4 linked regions of the Coturnix japonica genome follow. The protein of the gene in region 1 binds, or shares a complex with, the protein of each later gene. Links are inferred from orthologs where the notes say so. Each region holds a gene or a part of one and is shown in the gene's direction. Other genes may lie near its edges.

Region 1 (4,146 bases):
ATTGACACTTCGTGGAGATCCTCACTGAGGATTCATCACTTCTAGAACTGAAATGCAGCATGGAAAGATTGTTTTCACAGAGTGCAAAACAGAAAGAGTAGTTCCATTCAAAATGTGTTTTATTTTCTAGTAAGCATTAGCTTCACGTACAGCAGGTGAATAACTTTCTGTGCAAGACAAAAACTGAAGCGTGTACTGCAATTGAGTTCAGTGTTGTCTCCACACATCTTTTTTTCACCTTGTGACTGACTATAGTGCTTGCTTAAAGTTACGCTATGCTTATTTAGCACAGGAGTTGTATATATATATATATATATATATATAGACTAAGATAAGATCTCATGAAGTGCAATTCTAACAATAAAAAAACTACAAGTTCCAAGCTGTGAAGAGACTGGGTAGCCATTTTGGTGGTGCCAGCCATCTTGGAGCAGAATAGATTTAAATAGCTGAATTTCAAGAAATGACTGACATTTTGCAAAGTTGATAGTTTTAACGTAATCTTGGAAAAGGTCATCTACTCTAGTAGAATCAAAGAAAGAGTATGACAATATATCGTTTCGTGACATGCAAACATAAGAGGAAATAATTTCTGTTCCACATTAAAAGAACTCTGATCCTTGTTTGGCCTATAATGCAGCTGAAAGATTTGGGCATGAAGCTGTGTCAATGATCTTCTCTCATAGGATTTTTATCATTCAGAACCTCATTATGGTGGACAGTGCTAATTTTTGGGCTTCACACAAAGATGAGACAAGGTAGTTGAATGTATCAGAAGTGATTTGCAAGGGAAGGTGAGAAACACTGGTAACAGACAGTAAGGGTACAAGGCTCACAATCCATTCTACCTCAGAAGTAGTGCTGAACACAGGAGGCTTAGGAAGGAGAGATGGTGACAAGCATACATGGAAGTTTCCCACCATGATCTTATCTTGGCAATTTTGTTTTTCCAGTCAACAAAGAAGGGCTGCAGTGGCCAAACAGTGAGACAAAAGAAGGCTAAGGGGGAATGAATCCTTGAGGTTTAAAGTACCTCCTTGTCAACGTGACTGAGTCGTAGAATAAAAACGAGGGAAAATGGTAGCAACCTTAGGCTAGAGACAGTGTATCACTAGCAACAGGATCCCAGCCTTATGCAGAATGGACACCTTGCTGTTGCTGTGATTTACCATCACTGCCAAGATGGGACACAATGGGATTTTGACAGTTAAGAATCCATGCTGGTTACAGAACAGCAAGGCACCAAAATTCGTGAGCAACAGCGTGAAACAAAAGGACAGATACGTGCTAGGTTTGGGTGCGCAAAGGTCAGATGACACGGCAGGAGGATGCATCACGTACTCTGGTTAGTGACTCAGCCAGCCAACGCTCGGCACGGCGCAATGCCGGGAAGGAGAGAGCCCGCCGCGGAAGCGACGGGCAGGGAGCGGGCCGTGCTGAGGTAAGCAGCTCCTGCCAACAACACCCCCAGTCCCCGCCTGGATCTTCCCGCCTGGTCGCAGACGCGCCTCTCCCAGTTCTCCGTCCTGTCCCGTCCCGTCCCGTCCCGTCCCCTCCCCTCTCTGCAGCGCGCGGAAGCAGCAGCACGACTGTTAAAACCGTTACAGCTCCCACTTTCGAACTGATTCAAACTCAGCAGCACTGAGACGCGAGGCCCCTCCCCGCTCCCGTCGGACCCCTCGCCTCCCTCCCCTCCCCAGTCCCCGTGAGGCGGCGGCCGGAGCACCTCAAACTCCAGACCCGCTGCCCGCTCAGCTACACGGACGGGCAAAGAGGGCACAAAACCGCCAGCCCGGGCGGCAGCGCGAGAACAAAGAGCTCCCCCACCCCTCCTTCCCGCCAGCACGTGGGGCACGGACCCCGCCCCTCTCCCCGCCCCTCTCCGCCCCTGATTGGCTCGGGGCGCTCCGTCCGCGTCCGTCCAATCGGGGCGGCGCTCGGCTCTCGCCAATGAACGTGTTACCGATTGGGCCACTGTATTTGGCGCTCGGTCCGGGAGGGTGAATCCGGCAGCCGGAGGCAGGAGGGAAGAAGAGTCGGGGAGCGAAGCGGCTGTGGTGGCGGTGGCACGAGATTGGAGCGAGGGGACGGGTGAGCTGGACGGCAGCGGCAGCAGCACCACAACCACCGTACGGGCTGCGGGCCGGGAGCAGTTATTTATAACCGACTCCCTTTGTTATGGGGGGTGGGGAGGCAGACAGGGAGGGCGCGACCGCCTCGGTCCCGAGCAGCGCGCCGCGTCGCGCTTGAAGGAACGGGATGGGGTGGGGGGCGGCAGCGAGATTCGCGCCCGCTCTGCAGCCGTTGACAGCGGAGGGAGCGGCGCGGAGCCGACGGTGCCTTTTGTCTGAGTTGGCTCTGTCCATCCTGGCCGCGCCGCGCTCGGCGGAGCGGAGCCTTGGGCGGGGGGGGCGACTGGCGCCGTGCGGGAGAAAGAGCGGGTAGGAGCCGGCTGTTTCCTCTCCTCCCCGTTCCTGCCGGCCTCCTGTGGTGGCGGCTGCCTCTGGCACGGTTTCGCTGAGGGGTCGGCGGGGGGATCCGTGTGTTAAACGTACGCAAGGTGAGGTCTCGGTGAGTCCGAAACGCGAAGACAAGTCCGTTCTGTCCGCCTCAGCCCCCTCCGAGAGAGAAGCACGGTGCAGAAGTTGTTACGCGGCGGTAGCCCCCGCCCTGGGGTGCGAGTAGGTCCGCGGCAGCCCCATGTGCCCGCGGTGTCCCGGAAGCGGAGCGTTCCCACTCTCGCCCTCGCACGTTGCCGTCCCGCCGGCCAGTCTGCGACGGGGCTCTCCAGCCCCCGGCGAGTTTCACGGGCACCGAGTGCGGGAGAGCGGGGACGGCGCGGGAGTCAATCTGTCCGGCCAACTTCCTCGTCGGGAAGGGCGCTGCTCGGCTAACCGGCCCTCCAGAGTTCGGAGGGAGCTGGAACTGCTGAGTTGGAGACCTAATGTCGCAAAGCGCGGGTGTGTGGGGCGATCTCTGAAATCGGCATGTTTGGGGAGGTGTGAAAGGGACGGAGTTGTGCTGGAGCAACAGGCGTGTGTGTGATCAGACAAAGGTGATGAAATCAATGTATTGTAGCGCAACGCATGTGTATCTGGTGTTAAGTACGAACATCCAAAAATTATTAGGAATGGGCAGAAAGAAAAGCAGTCTCAGCATAATGTAGCAAAAATGGTATAATGAACCTGTACCTGGCTCAAGATACTTTTTCAAAGTTATGAAACAGTATATTTCATTGGAACTAGGGCCTTGGTTTTTTTCTCTGTTTGGTTTTTTGGTTTTGTTTTTGTTTGGTCTGTTTATTTGTTGCAGGATAGGTTTGTCTTTGTGCAAGTCGAGCAATTGCAGATCCAACCGTTCAGTACTTCAGCGAGACTTTACTGGTATTTTTAGTACACGATAAACTTCTAAACGGAGATTTCCTCATATACAAGTCCTTTCTCTCTTTTTCTCTTTTTCCTCTTTCCCCCTACCCCACCCCCCTTTTTTTCCATTATTTTTTAATTTATTATTATTATTTTTAGGGCTTGGCACATTCCGGTTCTTTGTGACTTGTAAAAATTAAAAGGTCATTCTTTGTTTGTCCCCAGTGTCTGTATCAAATTGAGAGTTCAGGGAATGTTTAATTGTGATAACAATAACGCATCTTCAGAAGGGTGAGTATTACTTGTCCACAGTGTATGGTAGCTATCCTTGCTTTATATTAGATCATAATAATATAGATAAGGCTTACAGTGTCTTTCAGAAAACACGGTTCTAGTACTTTAGGAGGTATTATTCAAAAGTTTTATGCAATAAAATACTTTTTTAGACATTCTAAAATATTACTCTGAAAGTGACATACACTGAAAATACTTATTGGCAGAAGAACATTAAAAGTCTTTGCTCAGTTTAAAATCAGATAAAGCAATAGTCTATAAGCTTAGGCTGGAGACTAGAAATTCAAAATTTTTTGCTTTCCACATGGTATTTTCTTCTACCTAGAATTTTCAATGAGTTGAAATATCGTGGGTGACTTTGTTGGAAATATGCCTTCTAATGGGTTTATATTTGTTCTATGATATGGCATTTGTAGGTGAGATGTAAATGTACTTCAGCTTATCTACAAGGAAACTTTGGCTTAGCAAGTAGGGAATTCTTGTAGTA
Region 2 (4,262 bases), on another chromosome or scaffold:
AGATCGGCTTATGCTCCTCTGCAGGTTAAAGATGTCATTTGTTTGCTCTCAAAGACGAGTGCAACGTCACATCCCTTTGCTCCAAGGCTGCGGTGCTCCCGCAGCACTGTGGCATTCTGTGCTGGCATCGCTCACTGCAGGCTGCTGGTGTTGCTGCGAACAGATACATGCGTGCAGATTGATGGGCGGGCAGCCAGCCCTGCTTGTGCTGATGTAGGGCTCAGGAGCACCCTCCCCAGATTTTAATCCTCTGTGGCTAACTTTTCCTGTTCCTCTGTGGCAACGCTAGATGAGCCTGCTATGACTTGAGGAGGTGGTAGTCTTCCTGTTGCACAGAGAACAAAGTCTTTCTGGACTGAGCTGTGGTTTAGTTTTGTCATCCGCTCATAAGCCAAACCATCCCCAGTTCACGATTTTTTTCTTATTAAATTTGGCAAGTTCAGTAAAAAATTTCATCTCCATGTCTGGGAGGTGGAACTACATGATCCTTGAGGTCCCTTCCAACCCGGGTCATTCTGTGATTCTATGAGGTGGGTACTTCCCTGTTCTATGGAAAATCCCCATCCCACACGGATTGCTGATCATTTCCATGTGACAGTTCACTGAAGGTATTCTCCATGTCCGTACAGACAAGGCAAAATAAAGCACGATCTGCCTCGAGTAAACTTCATCCCCTTTTCTTCCAATATTAAAATGACTTTAATTGTCATTATTAATTTAATAGTTTTTTCTGAAGTCTCGTATGTGATTGGTGGTCGTTCTGCTCATCTTTCTCTCTTCCCCATCTATTCTTCTTCAGATGGCAACGTTCCCAACTCAGCCAATTTAGCAGCCCTCATTCCTCCAAACCCTGGCCTGAGTTTATGAGGAAAATATTAACCAACTGCCTCGGTTTTAGCACATTTAACTCAGGTTTTACTTCCACTTCGGGCAGTGACGTGCGTTTTGCATTCAGCCTTGGCCACGCCACAGCCTGGAAGCTTCTTACAGCCAACGGAGGTGTGAGGCCACACTTCAGACGCTCTCCTGATGCCAGTGCCACTGAAAACCTCCTTCTGTCCCATTGTGTCCCAGCCCAGCTCTCTCTTTTAGCGATTCACACAGGGCACACTCACACTCTGACCCACTCCTTGTGGAGGGGCCTCTCTCCCTTCCCCTGAGGAGACACGCCGTTCCTCCCATCTTGGCTCAGCGTTTCTCTTCACCCCTGATCCCGCTGCCGCCCCGTGACCGCGAGTGTCGCCTCAGAGGCGGTTCGGCGTTAACGGCCGCCTCGCACCCCCCGATCCCCGGTTCCCGGTTCCTCGTCCCGCGCTCCGCCTCGCGGAAGCTTTTTGTCCCCGGGCTCGTTCCGTAGCGCGTGCGGCGGTGGCGGTTCGTGCCCCTCCTCTTTGCGGCTCGCGCCGCCGCGCGATTGTGCGGCTGAGCGGGGCGAGGGCGGGGGGAGCGCGGCCGCGCGCACACACGAACCGGGGCACGCGCCTACCGGCCGCGCGCACGGCCCGGCTCGGCTCGATTCGGCCCCGTTCGGCTTCGGCTCGGCTCGCAGCGACTCGCAGGCGCCATGGCGGCCGCTCGCAGCGACATGGCGGAGCCGGAGGGGCTGCTTCCCGGCGAGGCGGCGGCCGCTGCGGCTGAGGAAGAGGAGGAGGCGGCGGCCGTTGCTGCGGTCGTCGCCGGGGTCGGCTCCTCGTCGTCGCCTCCGTCCTCGGCGGCGGAGACGGAGTCGCTGCTGCTGCTGAACGGCGAGGCGGAGAGCATGTCGGAGCCCAGCCCGGAGAGCGCCAGCCAGGCCGGGGACGGGGAGGACGAAGACGAGGAGGAGGAGGAGGAAGAGGAGGAGGAGGGCGGCGAGGAGGAGGAGAGCAGCCTGGTGGGCAGCAGCAGCACGAGCAGCGGCTGCTGCAGCGACGAGACCCGCTCGCTCAGCCCCGGCGGCAGCAGCGAGGCCGACGCCAAGGAGGAGCCCAAGGGCCCGCGGGGCGGCCAGGAGGGCGGGCTGGGCCGCGGCGGCGGCGGCGGCGGGAGCAGCTCCAGCAGCGTGTCCAGCGGCGGCGACGAGGGCTACGGCACCGGCGGCGGCGGCGGCAGCAGCGGCAGCAGCAGCTGCAGCGCCACGTCGGGGGGGCGGCGGGGCAGCCTGGAGATGTCCTCGGACGGGGAACCGCTGAGCCGCATGGACTCAGAGGACAGGTCAGTGCCCGGTGCGGGAGGCCCGCGGGCGCCATGTCCTGGGGCCTCGCCCCGCCCGAGGGCCGCGGGGCTGTCAGGCCGGCGGATGGGGGGCTGCGTGCTCCGGGCGGGGGCGGTCGGCCGCGCCGCGCCCTGGGGCCGCTCCGGTTCCGGAGGGATGCCGCTGCGATACCGTAGTCGTACCGCGCCTGCTGTGCCGTGGTCGCTCCGTACCTGCGGGTGTACGTGCTGCGGGCGGCGAGCTGAGGAAACCGCCGAACACAAGGGAAAAATCCCACCTTGCTGAAAGGAGCGAGGGAACGGCCCTTCGCCCGGGCTGAGCTGTGTTGTGGATGAAGCCGAGCCCAGCCGTGTGAGACTTAGTCATTTTTGGATGAATGGTTTAATGCCAAATGTGGATGATTTCTGTAGTTGCCGGCTTGAGGCTCGAGGGACGGCACAGCCCAGTTCCCAGGTCGCGTTTAGCACAGAGGTTGGGCACTTCTAGGAGCACGGCTTGCCTAGTGGTTTTCTTGGGGGTATGTAATACAGCCTAATGGAAAATAGGATGTGGGGGGAAAAAAGAGTGGAATTTGTCGGTTCTTTTACTGCTAAGTGCTTCAGAATAGTTTTAGAAACTTCTTTTATTCTTTGCCTTTTTAGGTTTGGCTTTAAGAAAGCCTTGGGCTTTGCGGTAGTTGGTACAAAAATAATAATTGTTCCTTTTTTGAAGATAGTTTTGCTATTGAGCGTAAAGATGATCAGTTTTGGTCCAGGTTACATGCTTTGTTGATGTGTTAGGTTAAATTTGAGTAGATGGGGAAACGCCCGTGTTGCAGGAGCGTGGCATTTCTAGGTCCAGCCTCACGTGTTAAATGAAACCCTCGTGAGTCAGTTCCCCAAACCATGTGCTGGGTCTGAAAGTCTTAGGAAAAATTAAAAACGAATTTTAAATCCATGCTTTTCATTTCCTCCTGACTTCTGAGTCTTGAGGACTTGGGGGATTTTTTTCGTTCCTTCAGACTTGCTGTGAAATAAGAAGGTGGCGAGTTTTTCTTTCTTTTTCTTTCTTTCTCTCTGTTTTCACGTGGATTTTTACATGAAATCACATAAGTGTGGGAGTAGATTTCTGGGGAAACAACAGGTATGTGGTGGAGGTTTAGGGTCGTCACTTCTTGTTTTCTACCAAATGAAACTCTGCACTGCAGCTTGATCTCTTGTGAGTCTGTCTCAATTTGTAGGTTAAGGAAATAACAGGAATCAGTTACAGGGGTTTTCTGACAGTGCAGCCCCGTTACGTCTTGCTCACACACTTCAGAGCTGCTGTACTAGTTTCTTTCTCTGTCATTGTTTGCAGGCTCCTCTTGTTATAGTGGCACAAATCAAATCTGTGTGTGCTCTTCGTTGCTCCTTTCCAGTACCTTTGGAGCAGAGTCAGTTGCAGGAGCCTTTTGTGTTCAGTAGTTTTAAATTAGGACTGTGTTTTTGGTTTTTATCTTGCAAAGGTTTTGTCTTCAGTGGCCACGCTGAAAACGTAGAGATACTGAGAAGCAATTTTGTATGGTAATTTCATAGCCTGCTGCTTGAGTTGAGTAGGAAAAGAACCACGCCACGCAAAGTGCCATTTGTTATTTCTGGTGATAGAAAAGCTCATTTTGATGACATTCCTTGCTGCCTTGGGGTAGACAGCAAAAACAGTGATGCTACACGTAGTCCAACAGGTCCCTTGGCCTATCAGTGGAAATTATTGCTGCCCCTTAGAAGCCAGCTGGAACATGATGTGCGTCCTTAGGGTGATCAGCTGGGCAGGCAGTTGCCAGTGGTAGGGGAGGCATGGAAAAGCCTCAAGAGTGTTCACAATGGGATGGTAGAGTACCTGGGAGAACCTGGGAGCAGGTCAGATTTACACGATGTAACTATGACAGATTGATATCTGCTCAGCGATGTTCTCTGTAAAACAGTATCTTGTACAGCACTCTGATGTCTACTTTCTGCCTGTGTCCTGAATGGAGACTCCAGTTTTGTCACCGAAGACCTAAGGAAGTTGACATCGACTTGTCTTGTGGACTGTTGTGTGGTAAAATGACCTC
Region 3 (3,560 bases), about 7.7 Mb from region 1:
GTCATAGACTACGAGGTCATGTATCCGGCTGCTGTAGTTTTCAAACACAGAATGCTGTGTTGGATGAAGCAGTGCACGTGGCTTTCTGTGAACGCTCAGCTGGTCTTTGAAAGGGTTGGTTTGACCGTACTGTTTTGAGAGGTGAAATGTCATTTTAAGGTGATGAAACTTCTCTAAGGTTTGAGAAATCTAATAAGAAAATGTCACATGCTTCCCGAAGATATTTTCTTCATTTGTGATTAGAAGTTTAAGCATGTAAGGAAAAGAGTTAGGCCAGGGGAGATGGGGACACCTAGTTTTATTTTCACTTTTAATTTTATTTTCTATTTCCACAGGGTAGGTCCGTTTCTTTAACAACCTTCTACCGAACAGCAAGAAACATCATGAACATGTGCTTCACAAAGGAGCCTACAGTAGCTGAAGTAGAGGTGAGACCAGCACAAGGGGTAGTAAATGTTTTGTGTTGTGGAGGTGGAGCATAGAGGTTCATCTTTATTGATGTTTAGAAACTACCATTAGTGGTTTAATGTGGGGGATGTCTGATGTGGGGAAAAAAAATAATTCATTATGTGTAGGTGTGATAGTGATTCTTCCCTTCGGTTTTTTAAACGTTTTTCATAAAGGTATTGAACTGCGAGAAAGACTTTTTAGTGTACTTTGCAATGAAGCACAGGAGCAAGTGGGGCTAATTCCTGTCTTCACAATCCACCAGTGCTTTTTAGTATTTGCAATCATGGAATCATTAAGGTTGGAAAAGAACTCCAAGATCATCTAGTCCAGCTGTCAATCCATCCTCACCATGCCCACTAAACCACATCCCTCAGTGCCACATCTACACATTTCTTGAACATCTCCAGGGATGGTGATTCCTCCACTTCTCTGGGCAGCTCGTTCCAATGCTTGTCTCCTTCTGAGACAAATTTTTTCCTAATATCCAACATGAACCTGTCCTGGCACAACTTGAGGCCATTACCTCTTGTCCTTATTTCTAAACGGTGTTTTATGTTGAGTTACACTGAGGTGATTTCTGGGACTTAAATTTTAATGGGAAGTACCTTGTTCAAAACCCATCACCACTTTCTCTCCCAACAGCAAGAATATTGGCGGTTAGTGGAACAGAAAGATAGCCATGTAGCAGTGCATTGTGGAAAAGTAGATACCAACACCCATGGGAGCGGCTTTCCTGTGGGGAAATCTGAACCATTTTCTAGGTAAGGTCACCGAATCTGTGCCGCCTGCCCCATTTGCGTAACCAGGTGTGGGAACTTGCTGCCAGTGGGGCAGCACAGCGCTGGCTTGACAGCAGGGGCATGGTGCTGACATATGTTTCCCTCTGGGTCCCTTTTAACAGGCATGGGTGGAACCTCACAGTCCTTCCTAATAATACAGGATCCATCCTGCGACATCTTGGTGCTGTGCCTGGTAAGTAGGATTCTTTTTCTGTGTTTGTCATGTGTGCCCTCTAAATGTGGTAGTGTAGTCATCAAAGCCTTCTCTCGCTCTGTCTAGTCCTTTTGTTGAGTAGCTGCCTAGGTAGAGATGCAGTTGTAAGTAGCAGCTCATACCTGTGGGATGGAAATCAGGTTTTAGATATAGACTTAATGAATGGTTAAGACCATGCACCTGGGAGGAGCTGGTTGTGCTTGCAGCATCACTGTCTGTTGTTGTCAGTACATCAGTGTTCTTGTTTTGTGTCAGGGTGATGAAAGACATACAGCTTTCTTGGTGCAAACCTGGACAAATGTTGGGTAAAGCTGCACACAGGTTTTTTTTTTGTAAATGAATTGTTGCAAGTGTCACAAGCTCCAGCCGCATCTGTGTCATTAGAAACATTAGCTGAAAGCAAAATCCAGTCACCTGGATTTTGTGCCTGGACCGTGCCAGTTAGGAAAGAGGATTTATGTTAACGTGTATATATGCACTGACACTGAGAGGCAGTCTTCTGTGATCAATAGCATTGAGCTTGGGTTATGAATATTTGTAAATAAACCAAAGGATAAAATTTTTTGCAGCTCTTAGAAAATAAATATGTTCATCTGCTAGATATTTCAGTAGTGGGAAATGCTGGTGTCATTAAATAAATTATTCTTTGTGAATTATTCACTCTGATAGGCAGACTGCAAAAAGCTCACAGGTAGAAGAATTGCAACTGAAATGCCCTCAAACTGTCTTTTAATTAGAAATTGCGATTACTCAAAACTCATTTTCAATCTCTGTTTCAGGAGTGACAATTCCTTGGCTAAATATTGGCATGGTCTTTTCTACCTCATGCTGGTCTCGAGACCAAAATCACCTTCCATACATTGACTACTTACACACTGGTGCTGATTGCATTTGGTAGGTATTACCGTGTTTGTTTTCATGCTCACTGCAGTGGCTCTCTGTAGGCTGGTGTTAACAGCAGTTTTTCTAGTACCTTTTGTGTGAATGAATTAACATTCAACTAAACTTCTACCTAGAAGTTTAGTCTTCACAATGGCAGGTCTAATGAAAAACATAGTATAAACTAAGCATTAAAAACCTTCTTTCTGGGAAGAAAAGTTTTGGTTTATCTTCTGTGATCTGTTCTGAGATACTTAGCAATGAACTGTTTCTGCTTGAGATAGGGTAGGAAGTTTTCATGAGATGGAAACCAGCACAACAGCTGGTCAGGGCAGGCTTCCCTTAGGCTGACAGAGAGATACTTGTCCAAGCTTGCTCCGTATTATCATTGGGAAAGTGACTGAATTCATACTCTGACTAAATAGCCACCATTTTCTTATTTTACATATCAACTCTGTATCTACCAGATTCCTAATATTTTCTATTGTGATTTTTTTCTTTCTTTATCATATGATAATCATTTTTAATTATGATTCCACACATCGTTCTAGTGCCTAGATGCTGGCCATTAGTACTCAGGTGTTAGCTACGTTTCATATGTTGGAGACACTTAAAACAAATGGACTTAGCACTGAGCTTACAAATGGTTATGAACATGGTGATCCTTTCCGAATTCAATGCGTATGTGCTGCTACAGATGATGATGAATTAAATTACAATGGAAGTACAACAGCTGATGGAGGAATTAGTGGAAGCAGGTGCTGCCGGCATGTCACGTGCCTTTCTGTGACATTCCGATGATAATGGTGTTATTACCCAAGAGGATCATCAGTGAGAACAGTGAACGATAAGCAGTATAACTGTTTCTTGACCTCAGAAAATCAATTAAATGGAGAACAAAAGTTACTGAAATGCTGACTCCCACCGAAGGTGAGAAGCTGATTGCCTTTCAACAGTTTCAGCAGTTCTCGAGAACCCCGAACAATGGGAGCCTTCGGCTCATTGAGCAATGTGACAGGAGAAGGTCTGGAAGGCCTGAAGTGTATGTGCTGCCCTGCTGCCACACTGCTTGCAGAGTCAGCAAAGGCCTTTGCATCCAGGAGTCCCCATGGAGTGGCAATGTCAGCCATTCTTTGTTCATGCGCTAAGTGTGTACTTGTTCACCTTTAATGCCTGTGCTTCTCAGCTGGTGCTGATGTCAAGGGTGCTGACCCAGCTGACTCTGCATGGCCCAGAAC
Region 4 (3,560 bases), on another chromosome or scaffold:
TGAATAGCTGTTAGCTGTTGAATGGAGTATCTCAGCTTTTACTTTCTATCCCTGGACCTGGGAATTGGATTCTAGTTTGTTGTCGAGTAAGGGAGAAGTAGCTAAAACCACTTCTAGTGGTAGTTTGCTTCCCCTTCAGGAACCAGGAATGCATGTGTGGTCAGTTTGTGCCTCACTAGCAGTGTGGGTGATGATATTTTAAAATGGGCTCATGTACTTGCAGGTGATTATTTTGTGTTGGCTTAGTGTTTATTTCGCTGCCTTCTGTCTAAAAACAGGCCTAACCTTATTTTGTCTGGCCGAAGTTGAGCTGCTATTTAGTGAGTGAGGGCAGAACCAACTGCTGATTATCTGTTTACCTTTATAGCAACTGTAGGATCTGTTTCTTTGCCTTCTTTCTGGTGCATGAAGAACCCAAGTACCTTGAGTCCATGCCTTTTATTTATACCAGGGTCAAAGTGGCTTTTCACCATTCTACTGTTATATCTGGGTCAAACTGTCTATAAAGCCAGGAGTCAGGTTGTTGTGACAGATCCAGCCTCTCAGGATAACTAACATGCAGCACCTAATAGTGTAATGTTTTGAAAACCTAGTAAGCAGCAGGTACAAAGATTAAAACAGTTATCAGTGTTATCAAAATAGCACGTGCTGTTTCTGACCAGTGAGGATGATGGTAGTTTAAATGAGGTAAGCATAACTTCAGGCAGATACCCTGGTGTTTTCCTAATTCTGTGTCTCTTAATTTAATTTTAACGCTGTACTAGTGATGAATACCTCCTCTTTTTTCTTCTGTACTGGGGTTACTAATAACCTTGCTACTTTTCCCACGCTCCCCATCAAACAGCTACCTGTTCTTTAATGTTACAGTGGCTAATGCTTAGAGTTCAACTTCAAACATGCTTTCTTAATTTGTATTCAGCTTTGAAAATTGTGCCTCTCCTTATGAGATGCAGGAGGGCCTTCACTCAAAGCTATTTTTTTCACTTGGCTCTTCTAGCTGTCCCCATTGAGGTAACAACAGATACTGCATTTCCCAGTAAATATGGCCTAGTTCAAATTCTTTCTAACTTCCTTTTTAGCAAGTCTTTTTTGTTTTGTTTTGTTTTTGAGTAGAATTGAATTCCTCACCCCATACCCCCTCCTCAAATTTGTTTTGTGGTTCCTGTATGGGTCAGAGCTGCCAGGGCTAATATTTCTCATGTTGTCTCTGAAGCACTGCCATTTGAAGGCTGCTTAACAGCCATCATGAGACACTTCCTTCCTGCCTGTACTGTCCCAGACAGTCCCCTGTGGGGAGGCACTTTAATGAACATTATTCTTGCTGAAAACATCCTGTCAGAACAGGCCAAAATACTGTTATCAATTAATAACAAGCACCACCATATTCATTGTGATTTGTAAACATATCTGCTTCTTTCCCCCCTCCCTCCCCCTTAAACTGATGTAAAATGTTATAAAAATAATACTTGACATTCTTCTGATAACTGTTTGTGAAGGAGATCTGAAAACATTTTGTAGACATGAACTTTGCAGCAGCTTTGTGATATGCTGGAGTTAATTCATTGTGCCTGTGATAGAGTTGCAAGACCTAACTGTGCTGTAATAGTGAAATGTAACCCTTCTCCACCCTTACACCAGTATAATTCTTCTCAATCCTAACAGATCTCCTTTGTGATGTTGTAAATCCCTGTGTGAAAGTAACTACAGCAATATAAAGTGCTTATAGACGTGACCTTAGGAGGTTTCCTTGTTGAAAGATGCAAAGCAGAGTAAGCAGTAGTTGGGCCAACTTCTGTTCTCAGCTGTGAGGCAACAGTTCTTCCCTTAGAATTTAAAACTTTGTTGAGAGGAAAGAAATACTGCTTTATCCTCTGTGAAGACAGCCAAATTAGAATGTGATGTTACAAAACTGTTCTTCTTAACTGTTCGCTATATGAAATTATATTGGGTGTGAACCTAGTAGTTTGGGGGGAAAACATAACAATTTGTTTCCCATTACAGCTGAATTTCACAGAAATAATGTGTTTGTGAGCTTTATTTTTTTTCTAACCTTGCTTTACATCTGCAGGAGGACCATGGTCAGCCTTTGTTTGGAGTCCAGTTTAACTGGCACAGTAAAGAAGGCGATCCTCTTGTTTTTGCCACTGTAGGCAGCAACAGAGTAAGTAACTTGTTTTCAACCTCCTGTTGCTTTTCTTTGCATTCATTTTTTTCAATGAAACCCCTTACCTGTGTATAGTACTAACATACGGTGACTTGCATAGAAAGCCGTATTTATGAGGTATGTAGTGTCTGTTATCTTGGAGATGTTCTGCCTCTGAATTACAGTATGATGCCATGCCTTAGCTGCTTGGGAATTAGCCTCTGTGGTAATTAAAATTTTGCTAGTAACATGAACATATGTTAAAGAAGACAGGTGCATAAATGTATCTTCTCACTGAAATTATTCTTCTTAGATGTTACTGTTTCTAGAAGGCTTAATTGATAGCCTGATTTTATAGGCTTTTTCTGAACAAGACTCTACATTGTTTTAGTCTTCAAGTTCCTCCTATGGAAGTGTTCCACATAAACAAGAAGTCTCTCATTTCCAGGTTTGTCCAACCTGACAAAAGTGCTAAACTAAAATTAACTGTATATCAAATGCTCATGTAAAGACTAGGTCTGGTTAGAGGTGATGAAGTAACTAGTTATAAGTAGAGAATATTCAAAGAGTATATTTTAATATCTGGGAAGGGCTGCTAGCAAGTCCTGGAATGCTGCTTTACTAAAACTGTTGGGCACATTGTTTTATTAAACCCACTGTTAGATAAACAGGTGAGATGAGAGCTAAACCATAGAAGCATACTGCCATTCCACAAACAGCACAGTGCACAGGTGTATTTGGTTTTCTCTTGTACTATCACAAGTAAGTAACAATCCCTCTCACTTTTTTCTTTCCCCAGGTTACTTTATATGAATGCCACTCCCAAGGAGAAATCCGCCTGTTACAGTCCTATGTGGATGCTGATGTATCCTTTTAAGTAAAAACACACTTGCTTGATTCCTCTTCATCATAATAGTGAAGGCTTTGTAGGAAAAAGAACACAGAGGCTTTTCTGTGATTTAATACCCTGCTCATGTGGCACATTCCTCCTATTGGGTCTTAGCCTTCTTTCGTCTTTCCCACATCCTCGAGTCTTTCGTATTGAAATAATATCAGAAATGCAGACTCATGGAACGTGCTGTCTTAAAGTATTTGAAAACTGATTCTCTGTCAGTTCAGTCTTCCCAACACCAATATTTGTGCAGAGTTTCACATTCCATGTTCTACAGTGGTCTCAGCTCTCTGAATTGGAACTGGATTTCAAGCCTAAGAATTATGTTTCATGCTCTGAAGTGGTAATAACTTCTGTTGATCAGTTGCAGTTCACAGGTTACTGATTTCTGACTGGGTCTTGATTCATCCTCATTTTTATTCCCAGTCTTTTGATATTTTGGAGAAAGATTGAAAAGTGATGCCAAGAGAAAGGTGTCCTTATGTGTTTTATAAACAGAAGTGAGGAAATCTCTAGGAAAGTCAG

Evidence for each region.
Region 2: the proteins of EZH2 (region 1) and AEBP2 are in contact, whole or in part, in a cryo-EM structure (PDB 8VMI), measured with the Homo sapiens proteins. The link is inferred for Coturnix japonica from reciprocal best matches to the Homo sapiens genes EZH2 and AEBP2. Residues at the interface, in NP_001190176.1 of Homo sapiens: Ser76, Leu77, Arg78, Gly79, Thr80, Thr100, Asn102, Ala103, Val104, Ala105, Ser619, Asp620, Val621, Ala622, Ile739, Glu742, Met743, Glu744, Ile745, Pro746; in NP_001107648.1 of Homo sapiens: Lys382, Leu383, Lys384, Asn385, Arg387, Arg388, Ser390, Leu391, Pro392, His395, Asp399, Ala400, Gln401, Asp404, Ala405, Arg407, His408, Ile411, Cys412, Leu415.
Region 3: the proteins of EZH2 (region 1) and JARID2 are in contact, whole or in part, in a cryo-EM structure (PDB 8VNZ), measured with the Homo sapiens proteins. The link is inferred for Coturnix japonica from reciprocal best matches to the Homo sapiens genes EZH2 and JARID2. Residues at the interface, in NP_001190176.1 of Homo sapiens: Arg78, Ile131, Pro132, Tyr133, Asp136, Ile146, Lys156, Val157, Asp160, Arg161; in NP_004964.2 of Homo sapiens: Arg108, Pro109, Arg110, Leu111, Ala113, Gln114, Arg115, Lys116, Thr154.
Region 4: the proteins of EZH2 (region 1) and EED are in contact, whole or in part, in a cryo-EM structure (PDB 8VMI), measured with the Homo sapiens proteins. The link is inferred for Coturnix japonica from reciprocal best matches to the Homo sapiens genes EZH2 and EED. Residues at the interface, in NP_001190176.1 of Homo sapiens: Arg34, Glu37, Val38, Lys39, Met41, Phe42, Ser43, Asn45, Arg46, Ile49, Arg52, Thr53, Ile55, Leu56, Asn57, Glu59, Trp60, Lys61, Arg63, Arg64, Ile65, Gln66, Pro67, Val68, His69, Ile70, Leu71, Glu82, Cys83, Ser84; in NP_003788.2 of Homo sapiens: Val85, Asn86, Ser87, Leu88, Lys89, Glu90, Asp91, Trp103, His104, Ser105, Lys106, Glu107, Asp109, Pro110, Val112, Arg120, Thr122, Leu123, Tyr124, Glu125, Gln129, Gly130, Glu131, Ile132, Arg133, Leu134, Leu135, Gln136, Ser137, Tyr138.

What each region holds. Positions count from the first base shown.
Region 1 is NC_029517.1:75,450,812-75,454,957, reverse strand, and holds the start of EZH2 (histone-lysine N-methyltransferase EZH2), read left to right. Parts: upstream 1-1,332; 5' UTR 1,333-1,382; coding exon 1,383-1,441; intron 1,442-1,917; exon of another isoform or gene 1,918-2,129; intron 2,130-4,146. UniProt on the Homo sapiens protein: Polycomb group (PcG) protein. Catalytic subunit of the PRC2/EED-EZH2 complex, which methylates 'Lys-9' (H3K9me) and 'Lys-27' (H3K27me) of histone H3, leading to transcriptional repression of the affected target gene.
Region 2 is NC_029516.1:59,163,968-59,168,229, forward strand, and holds the start of AEBP2 (zinc finger protein AEBP2), read left to right. Parts: upstream 1-1,418; 5' UTR 1,419-1,564; coding exon 1,565-2,193; intron 2,194-4,262. UniProt on the Homo sapiens protein: Acts as an accessory subunit for the core Polycomb repressive complex 2 (PRC2), which mediates histone H3K27 (H3K27me3) trimethylation on chromatin leading to transcriptional repression of the affected target gene.
Region 3 is NC_029517.1:67,726,245-67,729,804, reverse strand, and holds part of JARID2 (protein Jumonji), read left to right. Parts: intron 1-335; coding exon 336-428; intron 429-1,092; coding exon 1,093-1,211; intron 1,212-1,351; coding exon 1,352-1,422; intron 1,423-2,222; coding exon 2,223-2,337; intron 2,338-3,560.
Region 4 is NC_029516.1:170,402,438-170,405,997, forward strand, and holds part of EED (polycomb protein EED), read left to right. Parts: intron 1-2,068; coding exon 2,069-2,161; intron 2,162-2,942; coding exon 2,943-3,008; intron 3,009-3,560. UniProt on the Homo sapiens protein: Polycomb group (PcG) protein. Component of the PRC2/EED-EZH2 complex, which methylates 'Lys-9' and 'Lys-27' of histone H3, leading to transcriptional repression of the affected target gene.